2 linked regions of the Astyanax mexicanus genome follow. The main gene of each other region encodes a partner of the protein of the gene in region 2 in a complex. Links are inferred from orthologs where the notes say so. Each region holds a gene or a part of one and is shown on either strand. Other genes may lie near its edges.

What was found.
Region 1: the proteins of metal transporter CNNM3 (region 2) and ptp4a2b are in contact, whole or in part, in a crystal structure (PDB 5K25), measured with the Homo sapiens proteins. The link is inferred for Astyanax mexicanus from reciprocal best matches to the Homo sapiens genes CNNM3 and PTP4A2. Residues at the interface, in NP_060093.3 of Homo sapiens: Leu390, His391, Phe392, Val393, Phe394, Asp396, Thr397, Glu405, Ala414, Gln417, Val419, Glu424, Gly425, Asp426, Pro427, Phe428, Tyr429; in NP_001356788.1 of Homo sapiens: Met1, Asn2, Arg3, Pro4, Asp69, Gly70, Cys101, Ala103, Leu105, Gly106, Arg107, Arg134, Arg135, Gly136, Ala137, Phe138, Asn139, Lys141, Gln142.

Annotation. Positions count from the first base shown.
Region 1 is NC_064410.1:46,847,175-46,859,213, reverse strand, and holds the start of ptp4a2b (protein tyrosine phosphatase type IVA 2), read right to left. Parts: upstream 4,792-12,039; 5' UTR 4,676-4,791; intron 1-4,675. Other genes in the region: col8a2 (collagen alpha-2(VIII) chain), read right to left, coding at 9,836-11,748.
Region 2 is NC_064427.1:525,801-537,719, forward strand, and holds the start of metal transporter CNNM3, read left to right. Parts: upstream 1-6,222; 5' UTR 6,223-6,513; coding exon 6,514-8,062; intron 8,063-8,924; coding exon 8,925-9,068; intron 9,069-9,335; coding exon 9,336-9,494; intron 9,495-10,413; coding exon 10,414-10,583; intron 10,584-11,420; coding exon 11,421-11,517; intron 11,518-11,919. UniProt on the Homo sapiens protein: Probable metal transporter.

The sequences.
Region 1 (12,039 bases), on a different chromosome or scaffold from region 2:
ATTATACATGTCATTCATTGGACCAGGGGCAGTAGACCACAGTTGTAAAACATACTGAAAGATGAGTGCAGAATGCTTCTGTTAGGAGTCCATGAGATCCCGTCTGTGTACAACAAAACTCAAACCCAAGCAATACTCAACAAGAAACATAAGTATGTGGTTAAAACTTTTAAAAGTGTTACCCAGTTAATCATGCCACAGGTATTCTTCCAGTAATCCCAGGGAAAGAAATGCCTTTGCCAGTTGCGTACTGCTTTGAGTACAGTAAGGCCATCACACTACTTTATCCTCCAGAAGGTATTTTGCTATGAAACACTTTTGATTAGTCTTTCTAGTCTTCTTTGATTAGTCTTCCACCATTCCAGTTGACATCAGGTGATTAAATTACAAACTACAGTTTTATGTCTTTCTACTGATATGTGCTGGGAAGCTGCCTAGAGGAGCCCATGACTGCTGACTGAAGTTGAAAGAATCAGAGAATTTGTAAAGCTGATATCACAGTTTCTTTTTCAAGAGTACAGAATGCAATGTTTTTATTAATAATGTAAAACCATAATCAGATATTTTAAATTAATAACAGTAACACTGGAACTCATTTAAAAAAAAAAAAAAAAAAAACAACAACAACAACAACCCTAACTTAAAAAACAAAACAACTGTCTATTAGAGCTACTTAGGGCCAGGCACTTAGGGCCAGGTTGTTTTTGGGCACCCCTTCTTGCAAGTACATTCAACTCATAGCTGACACAATCAGACCAGCAAAAAAACTGATAATTAGGACCACTTTAACTGATGGGGGAATTGATGTTTTCTTTCAGTGTCCAGTTGTGTCATTTTCCATCTGTGTTTTTTCACTATACTGGACCCTTCTGTTAACACCTAAACATGTGTGACTGCATCCAGATAAGAGTTTAACCAGACACACTTGGTAGTCAAATGTGTCTTGAGTACTGTCTGTGATACTAAAGTCATATCTCTATGTGAAATGAAATATGCAAATTTGCATTCTGCATGGAGATGGAGACTGCATTTACACTGCCATAACATGGCTCAAATGCATAAATGATAACCACCTGAACTGGCTAGTGTTTTGAGACTTGTATGTTTTAAAAGCATATTGCATTTTTATGTGACTTGACCATATTCAGATATAATTCTAAGACTCAAGATACATTAAGTAACAAATGTAAGCAGGGTCCCAGGGACCAGTGACTATGATAACTTTCTCTATGAAAATCTCTATGATTTTTCGTTGTGGTGATGAAAATACTGATATTGCTGACCAAACTGGAAAATATAACAAGAGGAAAGTTTAAGTTTGGTATAAATTAGAACTACAGTAATAAAATCACCCTACGTTAAGACAAACCTCATTTGTCTTTTTGGTCTTTATTAATAATGTTGATCGTGATAAAGCAATCTGCGTATACAAAATCAAATATATCAGATATATATCAAATATATAACCTGTCTCTGGTAGATACATTATGGAATTTTTTTAGATTGTGAATTTTTCTTTAAAAAATTTTCTCTTTAAAAAAAACAAAATTGATGGTATAGCCCTGAATTGCATGTTTGTTGTTCTTTCACATGCTAGTTCAACATGTTTTTGGTAGTGAACATCATGTGGAAGCCTGCTATGGTCCATGACCTCATCACACCGGTATGCGCTCAAGCTAAGCCCAGTGAGTCATTACTTAATTTAATTAAAGGCTACTTATTTAATGTATTGACTCAAGTGAGAAATTTTGCCTTGTTTCACAAAGACTTTTCACCTATTCTTCTTACATGCCAAATTCTTTTTAAAATGCACAGCATTTCTGTGCCCTGTTAAATGCCAAGTTGATGATTTATGAAGGCTTATGCTTTTAAACTTTAGGCAAGTTTACAAATTAGTTTTCTTACTTCTAGAAACAGGGTCTGTCCAAGTTTAACCACAAAAGACACTGTACAGCTTCCTCTTTGTGACAAATTAACACTATATGTTCCACAGATTTAATCTAGCAATAAATTAATAGTGAACCTCAGCGCACATGGGTTGAGAGAGTGTTGCCAGGTTAACATTTCTAGCCTCTTACTAAATACAATCAGGTGAGCAAAAACCCCAAAGACAAGAGTAAATGTTTAAGTAGATTTTGCTGTTCCACAGTGTTATGTTTTGTTGTTTTCTTTCCAGTTATACTGTATTTCCAGTTGCACCACCAAAGCAAAATGTAAATACACCCCGAACGACTGGTCAGGCTGAAGAAAAAGAAAAGAAAAAAAAGAGGTAACAAAAACCCATAGAAGCCAAACACCAGACTACAAGAAACAGAAGAAATGGAAACTTTAAAGAACATATCAGGAAAAAGACAGAGCCCAGTACTTTTCACATACACGTGTTTTGTATTGCTTTAGTTCCTGCCTGGATAAAACATATCTTTAGCTACCCAAAAACAGTGTCCAGCAAGACACCTACATAGAATACACCTACATAGGCCACCTGGCATTTGGGCCTGGGATATTCATTTGCCAATTTCACAACCCCGTCCCAATGACTCAAACCACACAAAACACAGTGCAATGTGCCCACAAATAAGTAGGTTAACAAAACACTTTCTGTTAATACCAGGACAATGCATTATGCAAAGGCCCAGTACTATCAAGGCAGAAAAATCATATTTAGATACTTTTGCTTTTGCGGATATTTCTTGCCACTGATATAATGATAATATAATAGTGTAATAATACATTTACAAATAACTTTTTAAGGAGCAATGCAATTATAATCATTCTGATTAACCAAACAGTGGAAGGCTAACCTTTATTATCTGTATGGAGAACTTTTAAGTTCGCTGGTGTTCAACTGTACCTAGCTGGTCTAGTATCCTTAGCCAAAACCTATCAAACCTAATCACATTTTACCTTTATAACCCCGTTATAAATAACATAGCTGTTAGATGTGTTGTATTCAAGGCCTTATCTTGTGCTTCAGCTCTTCATTAATAGCAATAAGCCCTTGTTCATGCCCGGGCATGTCTGTCCTCAACACTTGTTCGCAATTTGTGTTCCCGAGGATGAAAGAAGACCGAGGGAAATTGGGCGCTGTTCGGGTGTTCCCGCATAGCTAACTATTGAGTTAAGCCAAAAAGAAGAGAGGAGACGGAGGAAGAACATCGTGATGTTTGTTTCTCTACACACCTTATCTTAGCTAGCTTCGTTTCTCTAGGTAGCCTGCTGTTTGGACGACTAGTGAATTCTTCTAATTTCAGAAACATTGACAGTTTTCCTAGCAAATCAGTTAACTTAACAGGCAGCCAGAGTTAGGTTCACTCAAGCTAATTTAACTAACGTTACTTAAGCTAGTTAGTTAGTATGTCTGCGAACAACAGGGTGAGGACACAAGCCATCTGATTCAGTAAGCCAAGTTAGCTGAAGCTAGCTATTTAGCAAGCACTAGCCAGCGCTAGCTGGAAATAACGTTATTAACCGGCTGCTGCGATGTCACAGTCGTTCACACGGACTTACTAGATGTTTTAACCTCGAAAACGTGATCGAGAACTGGAAAATACTCCAATTTAATCCGTACACACAAGTATACAAGCCAGTATCTCCAGCTATTTTCTAGCCAACACCAGAACGCATGGTTAGGTCGCTATAAGCTAGCTAAAAAGCAACGTTGGTCAATCCAGGTCCAGAAACTCAAAATCCACCCATGTGTCTGTCACAATAACCTATTTTTGATTATATTTAATAACTGTAATATTAAGACATTTCATGCCACTGGCAAAGTTACTGATAACATAATAGCTAGCTACTATAGCTACTATAGTTATAAATGTACACATTACAATTAACTATCTGGCTATGATCCACTATCTCACTCAGACACTAGAATTGGAATAGAATCAATTTTAAATCATCATAAATAAAAAAAAACATCAACTAAATTAAATAAAACACTATTTGTAAAGAAAGTGGATATACTGTCACATTCCAGCATATATCAAGGTTTAGAAAGTAAAAATCCATTCCGTGATTTTGCTCCAACTGCCTTGCGAACCGCTAGGCAGCAGCAACACAAAAGCCGTACAGGCAGTTAGAGCAAAATACCGGGGGTGGATTTTCGTTTCCTGGATCTGGATTGATGACACCTCTCCTAAACATTAGCTAGGTAACCACCTAAACTAGCCAGATTAAATGCTGTGACTAAACGGCAAAGAGAGACATTAATAAACGAGTTCAGCATGAAAACACCACACTGTCATCTTATTTATAACAAACTACAGTCATTATTTACTCAAAAAACAGGTTAAATGGACCGTCAGCTAACTTAGATTAATATCTGCCGCTTCCAAAACGTGTCGTGCTCGCGCAAATGGCTGCCACATTTCAGCATTAGCAAGCTATGTTAGCTAGTGTGCTAAGCTATCTTAGCTAACCTAGCAAGCAAGCTAGCAAGCTGACCCGCCTGGCTTTCTTCAGGCACTTTAGCTGTCCGGCTATAATAGACAACACTAACTGTTAATACGAGCTGGCTAACCTAGGCTAGCTCTTAGCTAACGCTAGCTAACTTAGCCACTAGCCACAAAGGCTCCTGAACAACAGTTTGCCTTTATCAAAGAAAAAAACATTAACAGCCTTTAAACACTTTTCAAACATATTATCCTGTGAGTAATGAGTCACAGCTACTTACAAAAAACAGGCTGAACATTGAAATCCCGTGAGAATCGCCGGAGAAAGTGGATCGGAGTCGGTAACCGCTCTGCAGGCTCTCCTTCCTCTTCACACTTCACACTGAAAAGTGAGTTTCTCGTAGCGACCTCCGGACTCGAGACTGAAGCTTAGATTTGAATCGGTTCTTTTCAATGAGTCGAACCGACTCACACTTGCCAAATGAATCTATCGACTATTCTAGCATTTTCTAACCCAGTGGTTCTCAAACCACCCATGAACAAACCAAAACGTTATAAATAAAAAATAAAATATTAAAAGGAAATGTATTTTGGTATTATTACTAATACAGAAACTTGTGAATTCAATTGTAGGGCCTATGCAACTAAAGAACTGAAGTATACCAGGCCAAGCACTAACACAAATACACCTGATGTTGTGAAAATTAAAGGTAAAATCTCTTTTTGAATTGCTCATTTACTGTTTTTCCTGCAAAAGCAGTGGCTTATTCTGCTTAGTTGATATAAAAAGCATAATGTTATTAGAACTGTTCATTTATTCTGTCCAACTGTAAAAATATTTTAGCCACCTGAATCCATGAAAATGAACTAGAGTAAACACTGCATTTTATTTATTTTATTAATATATAATATGATCAAATTTACATTTCAATACATTTAGAAAAAAAGGATTTTCATCCTTTGAAACAACAATCTCTACTGTCCAGAGAAGGCCTTCTACCAAATTTTCTAGATGTTGAAGAATTGCTGTGGGGATTAAAATTAGTGACAAGAGCCACCTCATCCCAAACACTCCAATTTATCCCAATCCTCCAAATTTATCACAAACACCCTACCTCATCCCAAACACCCCAATTTATCCCAAGCCATGCAACCTATCCCAAACACTCCACCTTATCCTAAACACCAAACATATCACACCTTATTCCAATCACCCCAATTTATTCCAAACCCCCAATTTATCCCAAACACCCTACATCATCCCAAACACCCTACATCATCCCAAACCCCCAATTTATTCCCAACCCCCAATTTATCCCAAACACCCTACCTCATCCCAAACCCCCAACTTATTCCAACCCCCCCAGTTTATCCCAAACACTCTACCTCATCCCAAACCCCCAACTTATTCCAACCCTCCCCATTTATCCCAAACACCCTATATCATCCCAAACCCCCAACTTATTCCCAACCCCCATTTATCCCAAACACCCTACCTCATCCCAAACCCCCCAATTTATCCCACACACCCTACCTCTTCCCAAATCCCCAACCTATTCCCAACCCCCCAACTTATCCCGAACACTCTACCTCATCCCAAATCTCCAACTTATTCCAAACCCCGAACGTATCCCAAACACCCTAACTCATCCCAAACTCCCAATTTATTTTAAAGACCTTACCTCATCCCATGTTTGCATGTGTGCATTTGAACAACTGTATCAACAATGGATGCAACTTAGTTAGTATCTGAATGTATTCATTATGAGGGACGTTTACAAACATTTAAACCCATACTGTATATATCTATTTTTATATACAGGTTCATTTTTTTTTTTTTACTTCAAGTTGTTACACTCACCTTATTTATCATATATATGTATTCCTGTTCATATTCATTCATATTCTATTTAAGATTACAGGTCAGACTTGGCTGGTGAATTAGTGAATCATATGCTCGACTCTTTAAAACAGCTCTTTCGAAAGAATCGTTTGGCTGAACTGAACAGAACCGAATCCTCGGCAGCTTCTCCGCTGAAACTGAAGGGGAGGGTCTACCCGGAGGCGACGTGACGTCAGGTTTACGCAAAGCGCCCGTTGACAGTCTGGTGATGTCTCACCGGGGAGGAGTGTGACAGTGACCACGAATAGGAGTTATAATTATCTCCTAAACTGTACTGACGGAGTTCTTCTATAGGACCTTGTCTTCTATTAACTCCAGTGATCGTCTGATACGGGTTTACGCACAGCGTGTCTGAATGAAAACGTGTTACACACATACAGTAGGAGAGAACAGTGTGAGAGAGAGAGAGGCCTGTGTGAGTCATTCTAGTGACTGGAACACATGAAGCACGCAGATACACGATGCGGACTGAAGGATGTTCAGTATGTTCAATATGTTCAATATATCACGTGGCTTCAACTGTTATAAATGTAATATTAGATGTTTTTCTGTTTATTACACGTATTTATGTGTATTATATGTATTGCTATTTTCTGGAAGTACTGAGTATCTAGAGGTAACCTCTCATCCTGCATGCTCATGCTGGGCTTACATGGGTGGAATGTGAGCTAGGTGGGTTTCGGGTGGGCATAAGTCTGAGTGGGTTTGTACATGACTTTTTATTTACATTGACTTCCAAAGTTAAAGTTAAGAAGGTTTTATCCCTCTATTGTAATGTTGCTGTTTTGGAGATACATGTTTTTCATTGGACAGCAACAATATGCTGGGCCAACATATCACCCATGTACAAAACATTCTGTTTCCCAGCTGGGCTACCCATAAAGGCCCTGCATGGGCATGTTATCTGTGCTGAGTCAACTCATACGGCTGGCAATACAGGTTCTTTTTGTCTTGTCCCTCTAATGAAATCCCCAGAAAACAGAGTGTTATGATGCATACAGTTTATCATGCTGTATTTTTGGCAGGCAAATATAAAGATAATGATATCTTGAGAAAAGGCAAACATGGGTAAATATTCACAGTGAACATAGGTGCTGATAGGTTAAAATGACCTGCTAACATAGAACACTGTAGTCACAGTCAAGAACACCAACATATACAGTATTTGTACAAGAAAATCTTTATTGATATTGTATCAATACTATCAAGTACTGCAGATTTCTTATAAGCTGACAAAACATTTTCAGTCAAAAGAGTGCATTTAATACCCAAAGTCTATTGCACAGCATAAATGCAATAGCCCTGTATACATCAAACAACCAAAACAGAACCCTATAATCTGATACGTAGTACATACAAAAAAAATAAAAGAAGTAAAGGTCGACAAAATATTCCTTTAACGACGGTAGTATGCTAACTACAATACTCGTAACTTGTCAATGCTGTTATATATATTTATTTGTACGTTATTTCAATGGACGCTTCGGTAGGCAGACATTCTTGCTGATTCATCACATATGTACAGTATAAATACACCTTCATTACGCTAATGTGCAAATGGGACGGGTTGTTTGTGTTTATCTTGTCCGTAACAAACAAATATCCCTTACAAACCGAAGCAAGAATTTTCTTGGCATGAAAATGAAAGGAAAACCGAGTCTAGCAGATCTGAGGGGAAACAGTACAATGAATCTACCTGACAATTTTTTATTGATTTCATTTAAAAATATATACGCTGATTTCAAAGCCTCTGTTTATACTGACATTAAAGATGGAGCGAATCAAATTTTAAAAATCAAAGCTCTCTGTGAAAAAATTAATGGAAATGGCTATAGGATATGGATAGATGAAATGATTGGCTCTTGTCTTAAATGCAGTAATATTTTGGGGGGAGGTAAATATTTTAACAACAGAGAAAAGCAATGAAGAATTGCTGACTGGCTACACTGAGAACAGCCAAAAGGGGATAAAAGGTGAATAACTGTTACATATCACCACAGTTGGCACACTTTGGAATCAGTTTGTTATGACAGTAATTCCAGCTTTATGAATGATGTAGTTGTAATATAACGCTTCTTTTAAGATATCACTAGCACCAGATGAAACAACAGCAACATTTTGGCTCAATTTTGCAATACGTGACAAACCCAATGGGTAATTCAGGGGTTATTTGGGAATAACAACTCGACAATTTATTTTACAGCCAACTCAGGGTCAATAATTAATTTTGTGTTCATTGTTACGGTCTGCATATGCATGTTCTTATTTGTTTCTGAAAACCTTTTATAACAAATAGGGATGAGTTGCAATAATCATTTTTGTTCGACAGATCCAGTGCATTTATTTAATCTGTTCATTACTATGAACTAATCATTCAATATCTGCCTGAATAATTCATGATCAAGTCTTCTTTGTGCGAGCATTGAAAGCAATGAACAGAACATCTGAATAATAAACTGGGATGTTGTGCACAATGCCCAGTAATTAATTTGTTAAATGTTCAATAAGGCGAAAGACACAGTTCACATGACATGGGCCATGTCTTCAAGTTCTGGAAAAAAGCTCTTGATGTTCAACTTTAACTAATTTGAATGACCAAAGAATCTTAAATGGAATTAAGTGTGTAGATGATTAAAACATTCAAAAATGAATGTCCACTATTTAATACGATGTTAAGTACAATATAAGTTTCAGAACTGTAATGACCTTTGAACATACTGTGATCAAATGCATAGGTTAGAGTTCATTATGTCTTTACACTCAGACAGTTAATCCATTAACAGTTCATCTAAATATCTTCTTAAAAATATATAAATGCCAGCAATACAGGGAGATAATACTTGTGTATTATTTTGTAATGTTTCAGACTAGAATTTCAGACTGATTTTCTGTTCAAAATAATATTCTAAAACTTTTCACTTCAAGGATAAGGACAATACTCTCCACGTATATCACTGATTTAGGCACATTAGCAACAAATTGTAACTGTAACACATAGTAAACAAAACATATTTTATGACATTTGGCCTAGAGTTAAGACTTTACTCCCTAGAGTAAACTTAAAACCGTCAGGGTAGTAAAGAGGAAATGTTGTTGAAAATGATTGAAAATAAGAGCTTGAGCTGAATGTGACTGCAGCCAGGGGAACACACAACCCCAGAGTCGAAAGAAATGGAGTTCAATGGGAGTCAGAACATTTGGCAAAGTGTGCAGTCACATGGGTAAAACTGTTACTTACACATTGTCTGATTCCGATAAACAACAACATCAATTAAAATAACACAACAACAGCAACAATAATAATATAACAGTTATAATAACATTATAATATAGGCTGAAGATACCAAAAACACTTGAAGGAAAACAAAAATCAAATCAGACATTTGAAAAGGCTAAAACATGGACACAGCATAAAGTTTCCATCTCCTGCTTTCATCTAGGCTTTTCTGGTGTTCAGTCTTTCCTGTTATCGATGTTACAGGTGGTACTTGAGTGACCGCAGAGCGCTGGAACAATAAACGATGGATCATATAAACTGTTATGTAGGGCACAGAAGGAACCCTGAGAAGGATGAATGGATGTACTCGGTGGAGTAAAGCCCATTTGCTTGGTCAGATGGCATCTGCACCCAAACCTGGTCGTTCTCCTTCAGCTCCAACACTGCACTGCCTGACGCCTGGTCCATATAACCCTTCTTGTATTCGTCATAGGTGTATGTGGCAGGCACATTGTTTTTGTACAGTGCCACCCACAGGCTGGTTCCCTTTACGTGAACGTGATAAGCAAAGTAGTAGATTCCAGGCAGTGGGCTTGTGAAGATACCAGTAGTGGGATTGTAAGCATTTTGTCCATTGTACAGAGTCCTGTCGAATTTAATGGGCATACCAGAAGGTGGGAAAGGTGTAGTGAGGATGGCAGTAAATGCTGGAGCCATTGTGGCAGAAAGCTCACCGACACCAAACTGTGGTTTTCCAGCACCTGGATTTGTTATCGTTTCTCCCCCAATATCAGGACCTTGGAGCCCTGCCACTGTTGTATCTCCGTTAGTTGGGCCCGGAGGGCCAGGAGGACCTGGAGGACCTGGAGGGCCTTGAGTACCACTTATTCCAGGAGGGCCTGGTTTTCCTGGCGGTCCCTGTGGACCGGTTAATCCCTGGTCCCCATTCTTTCCATTTCCTGGTGGCCCTGGTAGACCTTGTTCCCCTTTCAACCCAGGAATGCCCTGTGGTCCCATATGTCCTGTTGGTCCAGGTAGACCTGGAATTCCAGATAGGCCACGTGGTCCTGGGGGCCCAACAAAACCATTTTCTCCTTTGGGACCTGGTACTCCAATCAAGCCTGGATTACCAGGGAAACCAGTGTGACCTGCTTCGCCTTTAGGCCCTGGTTTTCCAATGGCTCCATTTGGCCCTGGAAGCCCTTTATCCCCCGGCATACCAGGCTTTCCTGGCAAACCACCGGGACCTTGATCTCCTCTGAGCCCTGGCAAACCTGGAGGCCCTTGAGGACCCAATTCTCCTTTCAGACCAGGCATGCCATGCTTTCCTGGAAGACCCATTGGACCTTGCAGACCTTGAGGTCCTGGCTGCCCATTTACCCCAACATCACCTGGTAGACCATCCATGCCAGGTTCACCTTTATCACCAACAGCACCTGGTAATCCAGCAGGACCCCTGTCCCCTTTCTGTCCTAAAAGGCCAGGTTTACCATAGCCAGGAGCTCCAGGAAACCCAGGAGTCCCCCTAAGGCCTGGTTCACCTTTTGGTCCTATTGGACCTGGTCTTCCAGGAACACCATCAATCCCAGGCTTTCCCAACCCAGCTTGCCCAGCTGGCCCTGGCAGTCCTGGAGGCCCAGCATCCCCAGGAAGACCTTGAAGGCCTGGAATTCCTTGGTCCCCTTTTGGTCCTAGAGGTCCAGGTAACCCGTTAAGCCCAGGCTTGCCCACACCTGGGTTTCCAGGAGCCCCAGGACCTCCTGGAAGGCCAGCTGGACCTCTAAGGCCAGGTGGACCTATCTTGCCATTGCCATTTTCCCCTTTGAGGCCTTGTTCACCGGGCATACCACGGCCACCTTTTAGACCTGGTTCACCCCTGGATCCTGGTGGACCTCGAACTCCTGGGAGCCCTGGTTTGCCATTCAATGATAGACCTGCAGGCCCAGGTGCTCCTGGTTGTCCAGGCAATCCCCGTAGCCCAGGCTCACCTTGAGGTCCCTTGTCACCATTGATTCCTGGCAGCCCTTTGGGCCCAAGTTTTCCCGGCAAACCTGGCAGTCCTGGCTTTCCAATTCCTGGCAGGCCAGCTGGCCCCTGGGGTCCTGCCTGACCATTTAGGCCTGGTTTACCTAAACCTGGTTTTCCTGGTAAACCTGGGGGCCCAGCTGGACCTCTAGGACCTGGCTTCCCTTGAGGGCCTGGCTCCCCTTTCACCTTCATCGCAGGTGGATATTCTGAAAAAGAAAACAATCATAATGGTATATGAATGATTTTGTCAGAGATAACTAAAATACCATCCCTTGTAGAAATGAATACAAAGTCATGCTGTTATAAATTTATACTCAATATTAAATAGCTTCTTTTACATATATAATTTTAAGGTGTTATCACAAACTGTTGCTTACAAGATAACATGATACAACATAAAGATAATATATTGGTTGCACCAAAAGCAACATAATCAACCTAGTAATTTAGGTGATTAGTGGTCTAAGTGGTTAGAGCACTGGGTTGTGGATTCAATG
Region 2 (11,919 bases):
ATGTATATATCCACTTATGCAAGACCAGCTACCTATTTCTATGAATAGCGAGAGACCAAAATACTCTAAACTAACCACATTGAGGGAAGTGCTAAGGGTCACTAAGAGTCGAATTACTATTTTAGTAATATGTTATAAATTACTGATAAAACTGGATCAAATTTGACTTTTTTGCCCCAAAAAACGTAGTGATTTTTGCACTTGTTCCTGCTGCTGCACTTACGCAGATCTCCACATTGATGGACATGTTCCAATCTAATCCGCCATTCTTTGTGCTGATTGGCTGTTTTTATTGATGGGCGAGACTTCTTCCATAAATCTAGTCTTCTCTAGACAGGTGTCCCATCACTTTTGGCCGTATAGTGTACGCAGTGAGGGCGCTGGGAACATGGTGCCCCATTGGGCACAATCAATATTTGTTATATAGAAAGAGATTGAGAGAGTTTTTATGTGATTCGTCTTTTTCGTAGAGTTTATCGTAGTTATACCGATATCGTAGCGTGTATATATATATATTTATATATAAATATATTGCGCGGTATATTGGTGCATTGGCTGGAGTTCGGACGCAGCTGTAATACGAGCCGAGGCTCTTGGGTTTATCGCGCTACAGTTCGGGATCTGTATGTTAGCGGTACCTGATAAAATGAGGGACATTCTCTTCGACGATGTTGTTGTTGTTGTTTTATTATTATGCAAATAGCTTTAAGAACAGGAAGTGGTTTGACGTAGTTTAAATAATAGACGGTACTTTTAGAGATTTTTATTATTCAGAATATTCACAATATTCAGTGACTTTCAGCCTTCGAGCAGAGGAGATCCAACCCCAGAACATAGACACTAGGTAGATCATATACTATATAAAAATATAAATATATATGCAATAGAAATAAATTATATAAATATATAAATATTTATCCATATTTATTTTTTATTGTTGCCTAAATTAAATTCAGTTCAGATGCATATGTATGTATGTTTGGTATGTTTGGTATGTTTTTTGTTTTTGTTTTTGTTTTTTGTTTATTTAAGGCCTCCTCCACACGTATCCACACGGATTTAAAAAAAATTAATGTTAAAAAATTTTAAAGCTTTTGTCTGTGTTTTGGCCTCTAGTTCACACAAAAATAGCTAATTTATTGGCTTTTTAAAACCGATGCATTTTTAAACACTTTTAAACACTGTTTTCATGAAGTTGCTTTATTAAAAGAGCTAACATCACAAAACATACACATTTATTATGGCTGAATCCCAAAAATCTCCTCACTCCCTATATAGTGAACTAAATAAGTAATAAAACTACAGTGTCTACACACAGAAATACACTAGATTCCAGATTTACATATATTAATAAATGAAAATACTGTTTTAGAACACTTAGAATCTGTAACTACCTGATTTGCTATTACTATTAGCGCCCCCTCAAGGCCTGGCATGCTAATGCAATCGCTTTTCTTTCATTGGAGCAAAATCATTTTAAAAGATATTCGGATACGTGTGGACACGGCCTCGTCAGATATAAGAGGCTACGATTGGCCGAAATTGGTCCAGTAAGAGATGTGGTAACCAGCCACAGTCCTTTCCAGCATATAACTGCATCAGTAGCACATCTGTAATCATAGTTTTACCATGTTATTGTCAGTTATAAAGACGTTTGTGAGATTTTTGGTCATTATTAGTGAAATGGGACGATTAGAGTCGATTTATTCTTCTGCGTGGAGTCAACTCAGAGTTTACGACATCGCCCGCGCAAGTAGCTTTACGCTGTTTTAAGTGTTTAGGTGTGTTGGACCAATCACAGTGGCTGTGTCTTGATTTGATGCAGAAGAATAACTTGGCGTTCAGAACTAAGAAAACATTCCAGACCTGTGATCCAGCCGTAGCTTTACTGGTGCCGAGACAGAATCCACTGTGAACTGAATTCAGCCTGTAGCGTTCTTCCCCAACACCAGATCAGAAGCTGGAGATGCTCATCAATTACAGTAAAGCTTCAATTTCCCTTTTTATTGCACTAGAACACAGTAGTGTGTGTGTGTGTGTGTGTGTAGCTTTAGCTTAGTTAAACACCATGACCCCATTAGTTTCTCTTTCGTTCCCACAGCAGACGGTGCTTCTCCTCCACTGCATGATACTATAACACTGCATGACCCGACTCAACTCAATTCAGCTTCTTTACTTTCCGTTCGGATGCTTTTACACTTTATTTATTCCTTTTAGACTTTTTTTTTACTCTGGTCCAAACCAAAGTAGCAGGTGTGAAAGGTTCCGTAAACCAAAGAACCAACAAAAGAACCTATATTTCATGTGAACAAAGTAGAGTGAAATAAGGGTTGAGTTCAGTCAAACTAGTGTGGAATCAGAGTCAGTCTGTGTTAAATTCGAGTCGCGAAAAGTCAAATAATAGTACAATTTAATCAAACTAAATTTGAGTCGACTCAAATAAAAGTCAAATATAAGTCAAGTTAAATCAAACAAAAGTCAAGTTTAAGTCTAATAAAGTCAAAAATTAGTTGAGTTAAATAAAATAAGTCAAATTGGAGTTTAGTTGAATCACATAGGAATCGAGGTCAATCAAACAAAAGTCAAGTTTGAGTCTAGTAAAGTGAAATCAAATTAGAGTTGAGTTAATTTAAATTAAAAAAGTCAAATTGAATCAAATAAAAGTGAAATAAGAGTAGAGTTGAATAGTTGAGTACAGTGCAATAAGAGTGAAATAAGACTCTAAGTTAGAGTTAAGTTGAGTAGTGTAGGTATCATGCAGTGGCAAAGCACCTTTATCCTGTTAATCAAATCAATATTCAGTATTGATTATTTAGGATCGTCTACATGCTGTAGTTCTGAGTAATAATAATAAATTCCCCAGTTTATACTCTGTACGCTAGTTTTCTCCAGCGATGTGTGCGAGTTAAACACCATGATCAGCTAAGAATCGCTCTAATGAACAGTGAGCGACGTTTTATTTTATGTTGACCATTTTCCGTTTGTTTGTGTTGTTGGTCAGTGTAACGGTGGACAGCAGTCCAGTCTTTATATAGTTTATATACCAGTTATTTATAAATATTATGTTGCCTTTATGAGAGGTTTAAAAGAGAAGCAATAGTTACGATAGTTATTATTATTATTATTATTATTATTATTATTATTATTATTATTATTATTATTATTATTATTACAGGGGTTAATTAACAATGTTGTACAAGGAAAGGACCGGGTTCAGATGTTACCTCAGTTGAGTTTGCATGTGTTCAAGAATTTACTTTCAGGTTTGAACCAGTCAAAAGTTTGGGCACACCTCCCCTTCTCATTCAATGTTTATTTTCTGTATTGTAGATTAATACTGAAGACATAATAACAATGAATTATGTAGTAAACAGTAAACAAACAGATTATAACAAACCATCCTCCTAGCAACACCTTAGCAACCAAAGCTATACAATAGCAACACTTTAGCTACCACTTAGTAGTAATGCCTTACCAACTGACTGCCAAGCAACAACACAGTAATCAACACTTATACCATAGCAACACCTTAGCAAACACCAAGCAACCAACATCAACACTACAGCAACAGTTTAGCAATCATTGCCAGAGAAACACCTCAGCAACCCCGTAGCAAAAAAATATCAATACAATATACTATAGCAATATCTTAGCAACCACCTAGCAACAATTTAGCAACCAATACCATAGCAAAACCTTAGCAAATTCATATAAAAATATGAAGGTGCTTTCCGTACTCTTTTTATTTCATAATTAACAGGTTTGATCATTTATAGTTAGTTCCGATGTTTTTAATATTAATCTATGATGTGGAAAATAAAAAAATCATAATAAAGAAAAGTCATTGTTGATTGGTGGGGTTGTGAAGGGGGTGTGTCCAGATTTTGAGTGATGGGTGGGAAGGGGGGGTTTGTGACCATGCATTTCTGCTCAAACTCAAGACGACCAAAGTTACCGCGCCTCGTATCAGATAGTTCAGAAACACTTCGGCCAAAGCCTTTTGCACTTTGATCTGTATCTCCTCCGTCCTGCGCCGTGACGACGGAGGCTCCGCCCCCTGGCTGGGTTTACGTGGAGGAGGGAGGGGCTCCCGTGGCTCAGAACTAATGAAATTCCTTCGGGCTCGGGGTCCAGTCTGCTAATCTGCTCTAATTCGCACTGCCGCTGTTCCAGAGCCAGGGTTTCACTCCCACACTCACCAGAGAGTTAAGAGTTGAGACTTAAATTGAGTTGAGTTAAGAGTTGAGTTGAGAGTTGAGTTAAGAGTTGAGTTGTAACTCGGAGCAGGACGGTTCTCGGTTTGATGATTAGTGAACAGTGGAGGTTAACGATTATGAATGTGGGAGAATTTTCCTCTGTGCGTAATTGATTTACTCGTTGTTTGTGCTCACGCTCGTTTGCGTGTCGTACATTAGCTCGTAGAAAAGCTCGTAGAAAAGCTAAGGGCTTGTCGTCCACCAAACAGCACATATAGTACAGCCCTCCTGGCCACTGAGGAACCACACTATTGCTAAGGAACACACTTGTCTTCCATGCACTTGCTAAAAAATGAATTTACCACAGCAACCCTTTACGTTTTTTTTTTTTCTTTGACAAAATAAAGATATTTCAGTTATAGTTTTATGGACAATGCTAATGATGATTTATTCATCTGGATACTCTTTTTTTTTTTTTCTTCTTCTTTTTTTTTTCTCCCTGAAACATGTACGTTTTATTTTTTCTGAGGGTTAGATTTGAAGTGGCTTTCTTCTTCTTTAATTTTTTTTTTATCTATGTCTATTACAGAGTTCGATTATTTGATTTATTAATATATGATCTGTGTTTCTCTGTTAAGGGAAGAAGAGTGTAACGAGCAAATGTACTGTACCTCCAGGTATCTTCGGTTGTTCTATTTAAAGCAATGTGTACATAGTGTTTTATAATAAATACTGGAGGAGTTCTGATGAAATATGACAATAAATCTGAGAGATCTATTTCTCTATAAAAAAAAATACAGTTCTCAGTGTATTTATTGTGTATGTATTAGATCTTGTTTAAAGCTACAAAAGTTTTTAATAAGGAAACCAGCCAATAAAAGCTTTCATTAACCAACAGCTACTGTATGACAACACCTTATCAACCACATAGCAATACCTTGCAAACAATGTAATAACATAGTAACCACCTGGCAATATCTTAACAACCAACATCCATACCAAAGCAACCAACAGGCATACCATGGCAACACCTTAGCAAGCAACCTGTCACCATATCAGAGAGAGAGAATTTTCAAAACTGTGATATTTGGAAAAGATAAAGTATTGGGACAAAATAGAGAACTAGTATTTCTGACTAATAAAAAGTCCAGCCTCATATAAAAATTAATTCAGACTAATACTAATGATAATTGAACGTATTGATAATGATTTTTTCCCCGACAAAATTAAAAAGCATTATAGATGTAAGACAAGGGTCTCCAAACTTTTCAATAGGGGCCACCTTGGGAATGGTGAACAAGTGATTCTTATATTAAACATTAAATTCCATTTTAGTCCAATAACCAACACAAGAAAATCTATCAGCAATCACTAAATGCTTTCCTGTAGATAAATTCCAGTCAGAGAAACTAATGGCTATTTGTTTTTGCTTCCATAACACTGTTGCAACCGATCACTGTACATAAAACTTAAACATAATTGTGAGCCATTAATAATGTATTTTAGAGTGATGCAGAGGTTAAAATACCAGTAGTCTGCAGTGGTCGGGTGAAATATTTTACAATGTGATGGTTGAGGTTAAATGTACGAACAGTGTTGCTGGATTAAGTTAGGTTACACAACTCATTCTGTTCCTGCAGTTCTGCACTTTATTCATTATTACTCTGTCACATACTGGACTATCTCTGCACTTCCACACACACAGATATCAGCGCATCTATATAGCATTGTATTGTTTTATATCCAGTAACATTAAAATATATATCTACAGTACAATACCATATATCAATATGACTTTGGTGTGTATTGTGTGTATACTGTGTATTATATTATTTTATTATTCTACTCTATGTTGTAAATATTTTCATTTGCACACTAGTGACAATAAAAATATATATTGAATTTTGAATATACAGTGTTTATATTTCACTCTGACCTGACTCGACACGCTCAAACGGGGCGGGGTTTTCTTGTGTCGTTCCTTTTTCCAATTGGTGGCTAACAATGCTGTAATCTGATTGGTCGGGTGAAGCATTCGACGTAGATCCGCCCGAGAAGCGGAGAGTTGAGGAGCCCCGGTTGTTGTTGTTGGGGTTGCGGAGAGCGGGCCGCCGCCGTACCGGGGGTTAGGAGTCCCCGAGCCGCTGGAGGAGGAATCGGTGTATTATTATCGTGTTTTTCCCCGCCCCGTGTTTCGCCATGGCTCCGCCGGTGAGGACGTTTCTGCCGCTGTTTTCCGCGGCGGTAGGAGGGTGACGGTAGGCGGGCGGGGGTCACATGATCGGCGGGGCGGAGAGGCGAGCTGCCCGAATCCAATATGGTGGTCGTGCGGCGGTCGCTGCTCCCGCTGCTGCTGCTTCTCCTGATCCCGCTGCTGCTGGGGGGCAGCGCCCAGAGGCTGGTGGGTCTGCGGCTGGAGGAGGTGCTGGAGGTGCAGCAGGGGGGGCAGCTGCAGGAGGAGGCCGGCAGGCGGGTGTACATGCGCGGGCGAGTTCTGTTCGCTGCTCCGGGGTCTGGATTCAGGCTGAGGCTGTTTGGATCTGAGCTGCTGTTTCTGGTTAAAAATAATAATGTTATTAATAATAATAGTAATAACAATGCAAGCTGGCCGTGGCTCGCGTTCGCTCGGGAGGCGGGAGTGGAGAACTTCAACTCCCAACCTGGACCACCTCCTCCTCCTGCTGCTCCTGCTGCTGCTGGTGCCTCTGGTTCTGATGGTCCTAGTTCCAGTCCCGGTCCAGTAAAGGAACAGGAGGAGGACCCATGCAGGCAGGAGATCCTGAGGAACTCTTCTATATTCCGTGTGGAGGGGGAGTTCTCCGCGGATGAAGACAGCAGCGGTGTGCTGGAGGTCCGCACCGCGGAGGGGGACGCCTCCAGCGCGGGCGCTCTGCACCGGCTGTGTGTGCTGAGCGGGCCGGGTTGGGAGTCGCTGGGGGCGGATAGATTCCAGCTGAAGGCGCCGGAGCCAGAGCTAAAGCCTGAGCCAAAGCTACCCCCAGACTGGATCCCTACCTGGGCTTTATCGGTAATTATAGCAGCCTTGGTGTTTATTTGTGCTCTGATTCGCAGTTTAAGCCTCAGTCTGCTCTGTCTCGACCCCCTCGAGCTCTACGTGCTCCACAGCTGCGGCGCGGAGGACGAGAGGCGGGCGGCCAAGCGCCTGGAGCCGCTCCGGAGACGCGGTAACTTCCTGGTGTGCTCGCTGCTCCTCCTGACCGCGCTGGGTCACTCCGCGCTCGGCGTGCTCCTCTACCGGGCCTTCGGCTCCATCCTGCCCGCGGTCTTCACGTGTGGAGCCCTGCTGTTCCTCCTGGCCGAGCTGCTCCCGCACATCATCAGCTCGGGCTACGGCTTCCACCTCGCCCCCGGTCTGATCTGGCTGGGTCAGGTGTGCCTGGCGCTCACCTGCCCGCTCACCTGTCCGCTCGGCGTGCTCCTGGACGTGGCGCTGCGGCGCGACGTCAGCACGTGCGGCGTGCGCGAGAAGGTGATGGAGATGGTCCGCTCCAACGTCAACGACCCGTACAGCGAGTTCGTGAAGGAGGAGTTCCGGCGCGGCGCGCTGAGGAGCAAGACCGTGGAGGACATCCTGACCCCGCTGAAGGACTGCTTCATGCTGCCCTCCACCGCCCAGCTGGACTTCGGAACCATGTCCGAGATCATGCAGAGCGGATACACGCGCGTGCCCGTCTACGAGGAGGAGCGCTCCAACATCGTGGAGATCCTGTACGTGAAGGACCTGGCCCTGGTGGACCCGGAGGACTGCACCCCCATGACCACCATCACCAAGTTCTACAACCACCCGCTGCACTTCGTCTTCAACGACACCAAGCTGGACGCCATGCTGGAGGAGTTCAAGAAAGGTGAGGCGGTGGGACCAACCACAGGTGTGCAGAAGTGTTTGGATACCTGGGGTTGTGTGGTGTTGCATTCAGTAAAGATTACTGAGGTAGTTTGAGATGTTGGAGATTTTGATGATGACCAGACAAAACAAAACAAAACATGGCAAGATAACACAACACAAATGTAATAAATACACTGCCTGTCCAAAAATAAGTAAATAATCTGGACCTGATGCTGCAGTTTGTCTGCAGGTTTAGGTTCAGCAAAGGAATATACTGAATATAGACCAGGTTCTTCTTCCATCAATGGAAACCATCAGGTTCTTCCATTAATTTTTCTTCATATTCCAAGATGAATAATATCAGGATTGATGGTGCTGGAATTGTGAAAGAGTTCAGGGTTCAGGGAGCATGAGATCATCATTTTCACACATGGATTGAGAGAGAGTTCACCACAGAGTCCAGATCTTAACCTCATTGAGAATCTTTGGGATGTGCTGGATGGAGAAGAGCTGCTTTGTGCAGTGGTCAGACTGCACAGATAAAAAAATTAATGCAAAACTGGATTGAAATAAATAAATCTTGTGACGTTGCAGAAGCTTATTGAAACAATGCTACAGTGAATGCAAAGTCACACAATCAAAGATAAAGATGGTTCAGCTAAATATTAGAATTTTTTTTGTTGTTGGAAACTTTTTCTTTGGCCAGGCAGTGTATCGTACTTGTGTTGGGCGGAAATCACTTCATGCATAGAAACACACACTCACACACACAAAAATAGTTGAATATTGCATTTATTAGCAGGAGTGTCCACAAACATTTGACATAAATAATGAAAAAAAACACTGTTGGCTGTAATTTAGTTTTATTTCTTTTTTTCTAGGAAACTCTCACCTGGCTATAGTGCAGAGGGTGAATAATGAGGGGGAGGGAGACCCGTTCTACGAGGTTCTGGGACTGATTACTCTGGAGGACGTTATAGAGGAGATCATAAAGTCTGAGATCCTGGATGAGTCTGATGGCTACAGTAAGTATAACCTGTACATGTGAAGCTTAGAACAGAGCACATCTACTGCCTGCAAAAATCTGATTTGTGTTGTAAAGCTATGTGGCTGAGCAATATTGAAAAAACAATGATGTATATCCAATGCCGTTGTTGAACTGATAAACTGTACATCTCAGTGTGTAGTCATAAAGCACTGAATAAAGCGTGAGTTTGTTGGGTCAGTGTGTGGTGGTGTGGAGAGATGGTGTGTAGAGTGTTTCTCTGATGGAGTGTCTTCATGTCCTGCAGTGAATATGAAGGTGAAGCGTCCCGCCGCCGCGCTGGAGATTCCTCTGGAGCCTCGCTCGAGTCAGGAGGAGTTCTCGCTCTTTAAACCACCGGAAGGAGAACCCAAGATCCGCACGTCTCCTCAGCTCCTGCTGGCCACACACCGCTTCCTCTCCAGAGGTGTGGAAACACTGAGCTTCAGCTGGAATATTAATTTAATTGAATAGATTAATTGAATTACTTTACATACAGAAGCTGCAGAGTGAATCTTAGTAAATAGACTAGATTTACTTCTGAAAACTTGTAAAGAACTCTCTTACATAACAATGATTTTCATATTTTTACAAATTTCATTATATTTAACTGAAATATGTGGAGGTTATGTGCTGTATTTTTCACACTTTAAGATGCTCTTAATATCTTAGTACAGCGTTATAAGGGTGAGTTTTCAGTGAAGTTTCTCCAGCACTAAGGCTGGAACAGTATTAGCATTAGCCGCTAACCATAGTGCTAGCTCTTTCGCTGTACAGAGATGAGTTTAGTAGACTGTAGTCTGCATGTTTACGCATTGTAGTTTCTCATTGTAGCACTTTTGGGTGGCATTAACTAGCGCTAAGCACTGCGAACCATGGCTAGCGCTGCTGCTAACTGCACTGTTATATATTGGAAATGTAAGCTTGCTGTAAATAAAAGGAAGCACTTTACATACACACATAAATGTTTTTTGCTGAATTAGAAGGGAAGCATGGTTACACCCATGTTCCTTACTAGTGCCACTTGAAATGCACCTTATAATCCAGTGTGTCTTATGTATAAAAAAATAGATCAGAAAACAGATGTTTGTTGATAATGCACATTATAATGCAGTATGGCACGCATAATATGGCACACCATGTTTAGTAATAAGCAGTCTATAAAGAACAGGTTGAGTAATCCTGCAGCTCCTCAGTGTTCTTATCTTTAGCTCTTATCAGTTCAGAATTGCAGTTTAGACTCTTACAGAATACAGAAACACAGATCTGCGTTTCTCCTGCAGTTTATGAGTAATAAAAACACAGTTATGATTATTAATAATCCTGTTTTTTCCTCTCTGTTACAGAGGTGGAGCATTTCAGTCCACAGCGAGTTTCAGAGAAAGTCTTATTTCATCTCCTGCGGCACCCGAGCGTCAACCAGGAGGTGAAGTTTGACCCAAACAACCGTCTGAGTCCAGATCATTACCTCTACACCCGGAACCACCCTGTGGATTACTTCATCCTACTGCTGCAGGTAGACCCGCCATAATTACCCACCTGAGTTATTTTACAGTATAGGAACAAAACGTCAGAATTAGCTTCTGGGGCTGGGTATTGTTTTAAAATTAAATTCAGTACCGATACCCAAATGATACAGGTCTATAGCAGTGTGTGTAATAGTGTGTATAGTAGTGCAGTGTGTTTGGTGTGAAATCATGTAGTTGAAGCAGAAGCAGAGGGGTTTGTTCACTCTGCTGAAATGTTTGAGTTGTTAAACTTGTACCAGCATGTCGTCTCAGGTCGCAGCTCCAGCAGGAGGTTAGCAGGACCTCGGCCTCTGAGGGTTGTTGAGTTACTTTAACAGGATGATGAAACGCCTCAGAGTTCTCAGAAATCTGCTGTTGTTTTCAGTAACTGAAGTTTAGTGCTCAGAGTAAATGTATTTTATACAACCTCTATACAAACTTTATGAATATGAACTTGTTTTCTTTGCATTATTTGAGGTCTGAAAGCTCTGCATCTTTTTTGTTATTTCAGTCATTTCTCATTTTCTGTAAATAAATGCTCTAAATGAGAATATTTTTATTTGGAATTTGGGAGAAATGTTGTCTGTAGTTTATAGAATAAAACAACAATGTTCATTTTACTCAAACATAAATCAAATCAAATTTATTTATTTATTTTGTAAGGTGATAATGATGTATTTTAATGCAGATCTGTTTATCTGCTCTAAACTCAGAGCTGATAATATAGTCCAGTCAAACACATTCCAGATCTTTCCACTGCAGTGTGTGTTCTCTACTGTCTCACGCTGTCTGTGCAATAACACACAATAAAGTGTGTGCGTGTGTGTGTGTGTGTGTGTGTGTAGGGTCGTGTGGAGGTGGAGATTGGTAAAGAAGGTCTGAAGTTTGAGAATGGAGCTTTTACTTATTACGGTGTATCAGCTCTCACAGCTCCCTCCTCAGGTACGTACTCTATACCACTGCCAGGTAAAGAGAATAACTGAATAAAAGCATATTCAATTATTTAGTAAATAAAAAAAGTGTTACAAACCAGAATGTTTTATATTTTACATTATACAGTTAACAGCTGTGCTGAACTCGTCAAGAGATAATAGGTTTGAAGAGGTAGAGTTACAGGTATACAGTGAATAGCTCTATTAGAGTAATGTTTGAGCAAAGACCATTAAAAACATTATAATGGTGAAACTGGCACTCATCAGGACCGTCCCAGTAAAGGTTAAAAGAGTGAGTGTTTCCTCTGTTGTACAGGATAAATTTATCAGAGTTTCCAGCCTCAGAAACCACAAGTTAACAAACAGCTCCTCAGATAAGAGTATCTAAATACTTCACAGAGTATTTTAGTTT